Linked DNA regions of Medicago truncatula. The protein of the gene in region 1 interacts with the protein of each later gene in a pairwise test. Links are inferred from orthologs where the notes say so. Each region holds a gene or a part of one and is shown in the gene's direction. Other genes may lie near its edges.

Region 1 (6,543 bases):
CAGATTACACCCCCAATGAAGCGTTGATAAGAAGGTTAAAGCCTCCCTTAAGTCTACATCAAGAAGTGGAATCAAACATTCAGTTTACACCACAAAACAACCTTCATCATCTTGAATACACATGCCAAGGCCAACCAGATTCAAAGTATGGGAAAAGGAAGCATTTAAATTACATTGTGACCACCGGGACTTGGTTTTCGCCATTGCATATCTCCAAGATGAGTAAGATTAGTGGAGTGCATAGAAGTGTGATTTTGAAAAGTTTGGGCATTCATCCAGCTTGTAGAAAAATACCATGATCGACCACAAATAGTTTAAGATGATTCAGTGATGTTGTTCCAAACCTTGTTATTACTATGCTTCCAGATACTTCATAGGGTCAAACAAAAAACTTGTTTTTGCTTCGGATCTAGGTGTTGTAAAATAACAAACACATTTGTTGCAAAACTTGTAGTAGGATCGAAGACACCCATCAAAATACTCCATAATCTTGTGCGCTGCCAACAAAGCACACTTTTACTGTACATGAAAAACAAATGATTTCTATCTTCACAAACCACGCACTAATCAGGACACTTAAAAACTTTTGATTGCAACAGAACTCTCGCAGACAAACAATTTTGATAAGCACTCCACAAGAAATTTTTAACCTTCGGTGGCAGCTTGAGCTTCCAAACACAATTCCAATTCTCAGACACACGATGTTGTAGAGCTAACACATCATGATTCATAATGCCCTTATACACACTCCTATCTGTATAAACACCGTCCTTCTCAAGTTCCCAAGTAGGCACATCATGAAGCTCCAAAGCCAACAATGGAGTATTAGAAATACTTCTGGCTGTGTTGTTGTAAAAAAAGCCATTAATTAGCTCCATATTCCATTGATTTTGATGTGTAACCATCAAGTCTGCAATAGTGATATATGGCCATTCCAACTGTTGAGGAGTTGTTGGCAAAATGCACATTGTGTTACTAAGGCAATGATGGTCCCAGACTGGTATGTGATCTCCTTTTTTTATGCTCCATTGAAGATATGGATGAATTATATCTTTCACACTCTAGATACTACACCAAACATAGCTAGGATTATGGCCTATACCAGTCCTAAAATAATCACCTCGAGAAAAATATTTAGCTTTCAGTAAACGGGTGATTAGACACTCTGATTTAGAAACAAACTTGCAAACCTGCTTGCCAACCATAGCCATATTAAAAGCCTTAAAACTCTTAAAACACATTCCACCAAACACCTTAGGAGTGGAAAGTCTTTCCTAAGATATCTAGTGCAAGCGAGAATTTGCTGAATTATGACCCCACCAGTAATTTGACATTTTCTTAAATTCATTAGTGAGTGAACCCAGAATGAGAAAAACACTCATCACATAGGAAGGAATAGCCTGCAAAATGATTTAATAAGAATCTCAGTTCCATCTTGTGAGAGACACGTCCTAGTACTTCAAGAATTTATTTTACTCCATATGTGATCCTTTATAAACTTAAAAGTTGCAGGTTTACTTCTCACAATCATAGAGGGCAACCCAAGATATTTATTGGCACCTAAAACTTGATGAAACCAAGAGTAGTGACAATGAGGTTCTTGAGATCATCTGGAGTATAACGGCTACTAAACAATTATGATTTTTTGTAAATTAATAGCTTGCCCCGAAGCCACTTCATAAATAGTCAAAATGTTTTTCATAGCAATTGCTTCTTTTTCACAAGCTTTAAAGAAAAGAAAACAATCATCGGCAAAAAGAGGTGAGGAATATTTAGTGCCTTTGTGCATATCATAGTACCTCTGATCTCGACGCTCAACCTTACAAATTAAGGAAGAAAGAGCTTCAACACAAATAATGAAGAGATAGGGTGAAAGGGGATCCCTCTGACGAAGGCCACGTCCTGGCATAATAGGACCTACATATGTTCCATTAACCAAGACCGAGTAGTCTATGGTCTCAACACAAAGCATATATATATATATATATATATATATATATATATATATATATATATATTGCTAGAAGACACATTTTATGAAGGTGTCTTTTAGCAAGTTATAACTAAAAAGTGGATAATCACACCTTGAGGTGTTGCTTGCTAAAAGACACCTCTAAAGGGTGTCTTCTAGCAAAAGCATATATATATATATAACATTTGTGATACTAATTTATTTATTTTTATTTGACAGGCGGCCGTATGACGATTCTTAGAAATCATAGAGACTTTCTTGAAGAATTGATAAACCTACTAAAATGGACATACTAGGAGTCAAGGACACCATGAATTTTCAACGTCTAACCGTGCAAGTCTTAGTATATACATACATATATGTGTTTCCCCTGTTATTGAAGTACAATTGTGTCCGTTATGGTGACTAAAGATTTATGATTGTAAATTCATTTTGAAGACTTCTGTAAATCTTGTGTAGTGTTGGAGTATAATCAATGGTAGTGGATTTTATTAGATTTTGCCTAGGAACAAAAGATGATAGTGAATTTCAAGACAGTGAAATTCAATATGGACACAAAGACACTCCAAATTAATTAGACCTTTGAGATAAAGACACCAAATTATGAGTGAACATGAAGTTTTAAGGCCAGCTCATTTCTCAAACGTGATTTGCATTGATAACCAATAGGACCTTCTTTCTTTCTCCTTTTTTTAATGAAATTGATTATGTTTCTTCAATGTGCATGTCATTTTTGACCAATTATAGGATGGTCGAAAATTTTACATACACCAATTGACAAGTAGCCGGGCAAAAGGAAAAAAAAAAAGGCAGAAGTAGTTAAATGTTTGCTTGATATAACATACTTTTTTTTATTACTTTTTAATTAGAAAACTAACAAATGTTTTTTTACCAACAGAAAATCAACATATTATCATCGCATTTTAATTTTTCTGTTTTCACTATTTGTATAGAAGACAAATAAATAAGAATATGCCTTCAAAAAAAATAATATAACATGTTTTGTTAAATAATATATATATATATATATATATATATATATATATATATATATATATATATATATATTTTACTTTAAATTATAAAATTGCCACGCTTTTTTTATTTCAAAAGATCTATAAAGAAAACATGGTAAACAAAAGTACTTTTCACAAGTCTATATAACAGAAAGCAAATAGGAAATAAAAAATCAAGTAAAACAGTGTGTCATTTTTTAAAATCTAAAACGAAAAATATATGAAAATAAAAATATAAAATGTTTCTCACCAACCATAAAATTCATTCTATTGTTTTTATTTTATCAAAAAATAATTATGTAATTGTAAAACATGATTTACTCTTCAATAATTAATATCTGACTTTATCACAAAAATTTGCTTATGTTAAAAAATAATAGAGTTTAACTTATATACTTTATTTTATGTTCAACTTAGTTGGCATTATACTTTACGAAGAGAAATGTTGCAAAAGCTTAATGACTCATAGTAATAATTTCACCATGGACTATACTCTGGAAAACAAATAGTAGAAAACTTAAAAGGGGACAACGTCCCTTGAAAGAGTCAAAACCCAATTAAGTTACACTACATTGATTGATTATAAGAATGAACATAGATTTTCTAAATTATGCATTGAACACTTTTCCAAGACAAACCTTTTTTTGTCAAAAAATAAGACAACTCTTTTTTCTCCTTTCATGTTTGATTAAATTCCTAAACGAATTTGATAGTGAGAGTAAATTAAGCTCATCATTTCATTCATTCATCAGAGGATTCTTGCACTTGTCAATTAGTCTTTTAATCTGGTCCCACCAATACATATGTAGAGTGTGACACTAGATTTTGGAGGTGGGACCCATAGACTTTCTTGTCATTACAATTTCTAAGGTGTCTATTTAAATGATGTGCTCAAAAAAACATATATTCTAAATTCTCTCATAAGGCTATTTGGAGAAATGGGCCATCATTGTTGCAGCAAGCAGAAGATCAAAAGAGGATTATGGTCTCCTGAAGAAGATGATAAGCTTATTACATATATTACTACTCATGGACATAAAAGCTGGAGTTCTGTTCCAAAATTTGCAGGTATACATTTCTTTCTTCTATACTTGTGAATTATTATTGTGCTTGTTTTAAAGTGTGTTTGAAGACTTTTATAAGTATAAGTATGTGTGTGTTGAAACCATGATTTGTCTCGGGACAACTACTTTTAATGCGGTTGATCTTCTCACATCTTTACTCGTAAAGGTAAGAGTTAGACGTATTGGTGGTTAAAATCGTGTTACGTTTTGTTTAATTTTGATTACCACACTTGAAGATTGAATCCTTTGATGTGTTTAAATGCAGTTTCCTAAGTTTTTCTTCTATTGCTGCGTTTGCAGTGATTTTTTTGTGTAACATACTTTGACTCTTTGTTTCTCCAGGACTCCTTTTCAAAAAAAAAAAATGTGGTTGATATTGTAGTTGCAGAAACCTCAAAATGCTTTATATTGCGGCCATAATTACAGTTGTGCATCACAATTGTGTGTTGCGTATGTGTCGGCCGAGATGTCATGATTTTTATTGTTTATGCAAACAGCTTGTGGTTATGACTGAGGCTGCATTTGACTGTAATTCTTTGAAATATCAAGAATCATATGCAATTGTGATTTCAAACCTCAAATTAATTTATAGGCATTTTTCTTTTAGTTTTCTTAGTGTGTATAGCAAACAAAATATGATGCTAGTGTGGTTTGCTATATACAGGCCTGCAAAGATGTGGAAAGAGTTGCAGATTAAGATGGACAAACTATTTGAGACCAGATCTAAAAAGAGGCTCCTTCACTGCTGAAGAAGAACAGATCATAATTGACATACATAGAATTCTTGGAAACAGGTAAAGTGTAATAATAAAACTGAACAACCAATTTGATTTCCCAAAATTTGGGTGGGACCCGATTCAGTCTTAGACAAAAATTATTTCTAAAATTAGTCCTTGATATTTTTCTATAGGGAACAAATTCTTCTATTAATTCATTAAAATAGAGCGACTAATTTGTGTTTGTATGAAAATATCAAGGACCAATTTAGGTATTATTTTTGTCATAGACTTTGGGTCACAGAGAAAATTATGAGAGATCAAATAAAATATTATCCTAATAATAGTTACAAGTACAAAAAGATGAGAGAGGAAAATATTTGTAATAGTATAATATGAGTGCTTGTAAATTCATGAATGCATGCATTATTTGTCTGCTGCAGATGGGCCCAAATAGCAAAGCACCTTCCTGGTAGAACTGATAATGAAGTGAAGAATTTTTGGAACTCTTGCATTAAAAAGAAGCTTATTTCTCAAGGCTTAGATCCACAAACTCACAATTTACTTTCTTCTTCTCATCCTAAGAGAAACAACTCAAATTATAAAAGTTCCAATTCCATTTTCATTCTTAGTTCACAAATGCCACCAAATACTAATTATCTCATTGAAACAACAAATCAAACCTTTCCTTCACTACCTAAACCTCTACAAAATAATATTCTTCAAACTCCTACAAGTGTTTCCCCTAACCAATATCAAGCATCTTTCAATGTAATTTCAAATCAACTCAGTGTTCCCGAGCATGAACTGCCTCGAATATTAACTGAGAACATATCAAACATTTGTTCTACTTCCTGCAATGAGAATAGCATATGGGTTTCAAGAGTTGATGATTGTAGAGGTTCAATGTTAGAAGAAGGAACACAAGCTCATGTGGAGCAAGAAAAGGAGAAGATTTGTGAGAAGGGAATGGATGAAAAAGAAGTTAATGAGAAAGAAGATATTGAAATGAATGGTTGTTTTGAGAATTCTAACTTTGATTTTGGGTTGTTGGAGAGTGTACTTAACTCTGAGTTTATATCTCATGATCTAGACTATATGGATCAACTTGCATGGAACTTTTAAGCCATGATCTAATTCTGGTTTCTATTTTTATTTTTTTTGTGAACTTTTTGGTTTCTATCATTAATGTATATTTATCAGTGAGTTTCCTAAATATTAAGATGTGCTAAACACACACACACACACACACACACACACACACATATTACATTTCAAATTTATAAACATCTTCTAGAAGGTATTAGGTTTAGGACAAGCTCCCTTGAAAATGAAATATAAGAAAAAAATTGAAATCTTAATATTGGTTTAATTCATTCAAGAAAATTATTGTAACTTCTCCTAAACTAGCATTACTTGGATGAAGTAAAATAAAATTTGTATATAAAAAAAGAATTTGTTTTTGACAAATTAAAGAAAAGAACTTGGAGTCATTAGAACAAAAAAAAATATTTCTTTTTGAAAGCATTGAGCCAAGGCTTTTTTTTTTGTTGACGATATCCGAAATAAAATGTACTCATATTTTTCTTTTAGGAGACATTGTACTTATTTTCTATCATTTCCCCTCCTTTATATTTACCTGACTTTAAGACGGACACTCTGTGCTCATCTGTTCGTTTTTTATTGTACTAATACGTATAAATTACGAACATTAGTTTTCATGAAATTTTGATTAAATAATTTTGATTTTGATTAAAGTTATTGTTGAGGCAAAA
Region 2 (7,058 bases), about 12 Mb from region 1:
AACTTGTTCAAGTCGGTGATTAGATTTCGATCCAATGGAGCTGCGAACAAAGATAAAAACAGAAAAGTTATGAGTGCAACATTAAAAAAACCATGCAGAGTTATGGAACGATTTAAAAAAAAGTTGAGGAACATGCATCGAATGGAAGAGGGAATAGCACTTTGTACCTTTCAAATGGTGCAAAGCCAACAAGGTTTTAGTATCACTTTCTGTTGGCAAAGACGATGAGTGCATGCTTGATTTTATATAGAGGGATTTTGATTGAATGATTTCTTGCTAAAATGTGATCTCCAAGTCACTTTTGTCCACTATATCCAAAAAAAAATCATTTTTATCAATTATCCAAAAAATAAAGACTTGTGCAAATTTCATTTCAAACAAGAAAACGAATACGTGTGTTAAAAATGAGTGATTAAATCTATTACCCAGACTTTTCTAAAAAACAAATAGATTAGGTTTTTGATTAAAAATTATGATTTTTCTCTTTTAGAAATAATCCAATATATTTACGTGAAAGCGTTAGTATAGAATGACGTGTGGGGAATTCCATAAAATTCTTTCCTAATGGAAAAATAAATAAAATTGGTTAAATTACATTTCTTACTTTTACTCTATTTTTTGAATTTAAATTGGTCTTGTAGATTTTTATTTAAGTTTCAAATTTAAGTTGTTTACAAGGTTGAAACTTCCCTCAAAAAAAAAAAAAAAAAACTGGTTGAAACTCGGACCCTAGAGATTTTGAGCACAAGCTCCAACTACTAATATAGTTTAGAGCATCACAAAGGTCCTAAACGAATAAATAAGCACTCCTTAAATGAACTATATATGTACACATAATTTATTTATAATTTTTAATAAATAAATACTTATTGATGATTGAATGACTCTAATGATATTACACTAATTGGGACTCCAATTAAGAGTTTTTAAATAGGTCTCACTATATGCATATGTATTGTACCATTTATGTGTGCATTTAAAAAAAATAAAAAGAAATTAAAGATAGCTAAAATAACATGAATTTGAAAGGTGTGACCAACTTATACAGATTTTTTTTTTCATTTTTTGATTGTGGGACCCGTTAATTGTTGAGGAGAGAGAGTCAATGTATAGTTGCCGATAACTAATAGATACCTATTTTTTCTTTTTCCTCCAATGAGGGTCCTTAATATGTTGAGGTCCTTGTTAAGTAAAGGACTCCCTATTAGTGATGCTTTTATTAACTTGTCGTAAAAAAAGTTTTGAATTTTTCCTTTAATTTTTTTAATTTATGAGTTGTTATTTTTAAATTATGTTAGAAAAGAGATAAATTGGTACACCTTTTGGTAAAATATTAAAGGATTATATTATAAAATACAAATGGGTCGATCAACTATATTGAAAAATATATATTAAGGAGTCAGTTGAAATTTTTAAATGTTTAAAATATATCTCAAATTCAAAAGATAAATAAAATAAATGATTCAGCTGAATTAAGGTCTATTTAGTGGTTTCGATATGATAGAGACACGTAAAATAAGAGAGTCCAATAAATAAGAATGTTTTGATTAATCTTACTGTGTTAATGAGTTTTTTTAAATGACAAAACTCTCTTTTGGCTGAACCCTTGGTTGGCTGGTACTTCCTTTAATGCTAGCTTCATAAGGCCTTTTGAGTTAACTAATAGGTTAAATTATATCATAAGTCCTTTAAGTTTGTGGTTTGTAAAGTCTTTTAAATTATATTGATCACACATAAGTTCTTTAAATTTGAGGTTTATAACATATTAATCGTTTAAATTACTTTAGTCACGTATAAGTCCTTTTTAAGTTTGGTCACATCTAAAACATCCTCCCTTCATCATTCTTCCTATTCCTTCGTCTATTCACCTTCTTTTTTAAATTTAATACCATGACATTAGTAATAAGTTAAAAGAACCAACCCAATTAAATAGTAGACAATTTCCCCTTCTTCCATTCATCTATGAGTATCGCTAGTTCCTAATCCCCTCTCAAACAAGAAAACGAAAACGTGTGTTAAAAAATAGGCTAAAATATGGTTTTTGATTCCTGCAAATATAGCGAATTTGGGTTTTAGTCCCTGGTAAAAAAAAAAAACGAAATCAATCCCTGCAAAATTTTTTGTTTTTTAAAAAGGTCCTTGGCCCCACTTTCTTGTCTATGTGTCTGATTTTTGCATATGTGTCACCTGCTGACTGTTCAATTTTGCTCATGTGGCAGCCATGTGTAAACTGATTTCATTTTAATCATTTAAAATCAATTTTTAAAAAGCAAAAAATATATTTACTTAATAAAAATTAAAACAAATAATTTTTATTAATTGAAAATATATATAATTGAAGAATTAGGGGGAAAATTCTAGGGTTTCTCATTTCCCCCTTTTCTTCTGAATTGTTCCATCTTCATTTGTTCCTTTTCATCATCCATTCAAATCAAACTCATCCAAACTGAAATCTAACACAATCGATTCGTTTCAGGTATGTTGGTTTCGTGTTCGTGTTTGTCGTCTTCGTTGAATCCGTTTTCCCCTTTTTCGTTGTGGTTATTTTTACTACTTCGGTAGAACCGTACACTTGCGGTTTTATCCCATCAGAAAGGTTATAGCAACAAAAGCCATTGAAATTTTTATTTTATACATTGGAAAAATCCATTTTGTTATTAATAATAGACCATGAAGAATAAAAAAAATGGTGGGATTTAGTATGGAAAAGGAGAGTTGTTTTCCACTATAGGAATTTTTTTTTCAACCATTAGATTAAAGAGGAGAATTAATTTTATCATGGACTGCCTACACCATTTTTTTTTTCCTTAGTAAAAATAACTATCCTCAAATTTACTAATTTACTCTCACTCGCAAAATGACCAAAATGCCTTAGTCTTAAAATGACTAAAATACCCTTCTAAGCTAGAAATCCATTAATCCCAAATCAAATACACAAACAAGCAAATAATGGTACGTGTATCTTAAAATGGGAGAGAGAGTGAGAGAGAGAGGTGGTGAGGTGAACTTACTAAAATGCCCCTTCAACATGGAGGTGTATATTATAGGTATGGAAAAATTGAAGATTAAACTGAAAGATATTATAACATATATCACATCTACATGATTTGATATTAATCAATAATCATTTGATGGTGGCATTTCACATGGGAAAGGTTAATCCTTTCCCACCATGGAAAAGTTGGATTCAATGATTAGATTAAGTGAAGAACATATTCTTAACATGCTCTCTCAACACTAAATTTTTCTTCACACTATCTTCCAACAATTTAAAAATTCTGAAAATTAATTTTCAGAAATTAAAAAAATCGAAAAAAATTCAGATAATTTTTTTTTAAAATTATGTAATTCATTTCTTGAATGTTAGAATTTTTTTTTGAAAAAAAAAATTCCAGAATTTTATTTCAAAAACCTTATTTTCGAGAATTTTATTTTCTTAGAAAAATAAAAAACTTTAATTTCAAAATATTTTTATTTTATTTTTCAGAATATCTTATTTTATTATGAAATTAAAAAATATATTCTTTTTAGAAAAATAAAAACTTATCTTAGTTTCCAAAATTTTATTTTTATTGAAATCAAAAAAAAATCAAAAAAAAAAATTCTAACATTCAATAAATGAATTGAAGAATTTAACAAAAAATTATCTGAATTTTTTTATATTTTTTTTAATTTCTGAAAATTAATTTTCAGAATTTTTAAATTGTTGGAAGATAGTGTGAAGAAAAATCTAATGTTGAGAGAACATGTTAAGAATATATTCTTCACTTAATCTAATCATTGAATCCAACTTTCCCATGGTGGGAAAGGATATGTGAACACACACCTCATTTGATAGGTTAATAAGATACATCAAAATATTTTGTAAAAAAAAAAAAACACATCAAAATAAATTTATTTTTTAAAGTTTATAAAACACTAATTTTGATGTATCTAATTATCATATCAAATCTCATATATGTTTGTATATATAAAAAAAATAAAAACAATAGTACTTTTGTGAGCGAGAAACGCAGTGCTTTGAAATCACACACCGAACAGAACAGCACTTGAGTTCCTACCTCTCTTTGGAATTGAAATTCGGTTTTGATTAATCAATTACGCAAATTGCACAACTCTTTGAATTTGGTTGGTATAACAAATGGTATGTGTTCTTTCTATCACTCTCTTCAATCCTTGTTTTCATTTATGCGTACTATTTAAATTCAATTCATATTAAACTAATTTTGTTTATCATTATCTCTCAGTATTAGTTAATTAGGTTTACTTTCAAAGGATCACGCAATTTATCAATGAAATATGGTTTCAATTTTTATTTTGAGGCAAAATATGGTTTCAATTTTGATCATGCTGGACTAAGAACTCTGTGTGATGTTGTTGAATTACAATCTTTTCTTGAATGGTGAGGTGATATGTGCGCACCGTGCGCGCATACCTCGACCAATGCCCCTGGGTTAGTATTTATAGTGTAGGTTTTAGGGTTTTGGTCCTTGAATCTTTACCTGTTCAGCTGTCCTCTGTCCTTGAGGGACAGCTGTCAGCAAAACATGAGATGATATGAAGCACGGATACGGGCACAGACACGACATGGACACTGACACGCCGACACAACTAATTTTTTTAGAAAATCACATAATTCAGTGTAATTATATGTGTCGGTGTCGGACACAACACGTGTCTGACACGAGGACACGCCTTATCCGAAGAGTGTCTGTGCTTCATAGGAAGATATTGTTTGATCCGGCTCGTACGGCCTAGAAGATGGTTCCAAGGGGTCATTGTTCCAGTGTGGTCAAGGGACGTGTCCATATCATGGTGCTTCTGGAACTATGAGGATGGAAGTCCAGACTTACCCCAGGTTTGGGTCTTGGCCCAGACCGGAACAAATTTGAAAGTTAAATTTTTATTTTTTATTTTTTGAATGACAAATGTTAGTTATTAGGGGTTAGATTAATATTTACTAGCGTAGCAGAATTTGAAGAAACAATTATGTTATGCGATAAGCAATTTAGTACAAAGTGTTTGTTGTCAAAAGGAGGATTATACTGATGCTATAAATAAGGTTCTATAGCGCTATAGGCATAGCAAAATTTGAACGAATCACTATTTCATGCGATCAACAACCTTGGTTTGGTAGATTGCTGAAGTCCCAATCTTTTTAACTTGGTTTTAGACTTGTTTAATGAATGTATGCAAAAGTTGTGTCTAGTGCATTCTTTATGCTTTTGAAATAGTCTAGTTGGAAGAAAGGTTGAAGAACAATGGTAACTTTATTAACTTTATTGCAATATGGGATGAACGTATGTGATGAACAACATTACATTGTGCTCAATATTCAGAAGAATACCTTTTCCCAAAACCTTAAAGAATCAAAAGATAATGAGTGTTCTGCTTCAGTGGCGAGTGAGTGAAAGGTGTTCTATTTTTATTTTTTGAAGAGGCTGTGGTCAATAATCTATGAGATGTGAATGCTAATTTTATCGATAATATAGATGGAGTTTGTAGCCTTATTTTCTATTGAAATTCTTCCTTGCAGCTAATTTAGTTTTATGTATCTGTTATGCATCCTGTAAAATTTGGGATGGTCTTTAATCGTAACTATCATTGCTTGACAGGATATGTACATTCGCATTAAGCGTGACAAGACAACATATTTCATCCGGTGCAAGGCATCTGATAAAATTCTTGACATAAAGGAGAAGTTACAAGAGCTTGTTGACAAACCTGCTAAGGACCAACGGTTGATTCTACCTGGTACAGGGGAAGTATTAGATGACTCTAAGACTCTGGCCGATCAAAAGGTACGCTACTACGTAACTTTTCATGTCATTTACTATGTGTATATTTCTTTTTTAAAATGTTAGAATTTAGCAAAAATCCAGCTTTGATTCTATCTGTGTTTTTTTCCATTGATTCTTAGTTTCTAACTAGCCTGAAATAATTCTGATTGCTTCTCATATGACATACATGCTATAGATGCTAAAGATATCCGTTTTTTTTACATTTCAGATTGATACAGATGCTGTTGTTGCACTGACCTTGAGGAAAGGTAAACTTGGGGTGCCTTAGAAATTTATGAATTTATATTAGGGATATAAAACACGCTCTAACTTGTTTTGGCAAATACACGTAGTTTATTCACATTGGGGGATATTGGTAACTAGCCCTGTTTATTCACTTGAACAAAAAAAGTGCTTCCTTGTTCATTTTTGTATCATCTGAAAAGTGCTTACTCGTTCACTTTTGTATCATCTGAGCATGTTTATCTTTATTCTTAAATATTTTTAGCCTTTAGATTGTATGGCATTACTGTGAGGTTACGGAAACCCAAGTTGCCAAGATAAAACAAATTTATTGAACAAATCTTTTCAATCCAAAAGTTAACTTTTAAAACAAATTTGTTTTTGACAATATACACGATGTCTATTGTTATAAAAGCACACATGACATGTTTTGTTCAGCTGCAGTTGTTAGGTGATGGATTGGACCGATGTTCTTCATGGAATTAAAAACGTCTTAAATACTTTTAAGTGATAACTTATTCATTGAAAAAATGATAATTGGAGAAATTCATGAAGGTCTTCTAGATGGCTGTTATATTGATATCTTTAACTTTTAGGAACTGATATTTACAAGCACTTACATACCTGCATTTACTTGTTTATATCTTTCATTTTGACAACATCATTTCCTCTAGAGGATCGTTTTTGATGTACATGCACCGTTAGTGTACTGCCATATCTTTTTCAGAAACAACATAATGAAAAGATGTTTTCCTTTTGCTTCCAGATGATAATGAGTTTGAGGAGGTCAACATTGTTCGACCAAGTGATTTCTATCAGACGAGGGATGCAGAGGGTGCCAGTTGGTAATTGGTAAAGCCATACTCCACCAAACTAGTATGTTGTTCATTGGATCATTGATTTAGTTGGTCATCCTTCTGTTATTCTCTCTACTTTGTGTTCATCGTTGTATAACGACTTACACAACGCTGTCAAAATAGTTTTTAAATGGTATGTGGATATAGTTCCGTAAAGAAGTTATGCGAATCACATAAC

The links.
Region 2: the proteins of transcription factor MYB61 (region 1) and polyubiquitin 9 interact in a two-hybrid assay, tested with the Arabidopsis thaliana proteins (2 studies listed by BioGRID). The link is inferred for Medicago truncatula from reciprocal best matches to the Arabidopsis thaliana genes MYB67 and AT5G57860.

The regions. Positions count from the first base shown.
Region 1 is NC_053043.1:32,722,192-32,728,734, reverse strand, and holds transcription factor MYB61, read left to right. Parts: upstream 1-3,899; 5' UTR 3,900-3,926; coding exon 3,927-4,056; intron 4,057-4,716; coding exon 4,717-4,846; intron 4,847-5,211; coding exon 5,212-5,893; 3' UTR 5,894-5,984; downstream 5,985-6,543.
Region 2 is NC_053043.1:20,249,991-20,257,048, reverse strand, and holds the start of polyubiquitin 9, read left to right. Parts: upstream 1-3,976; 5' UTR 3,977-4,141; coding exon 4,142-4,144; intron 4,145-5,615; coding exon 5,616-5,801; intron 5,802-6,009; coding exon 6,010-6,049; intron 6,050-6,789; coding exon 6,790-6,872; 3' UTR 6,873-7,058.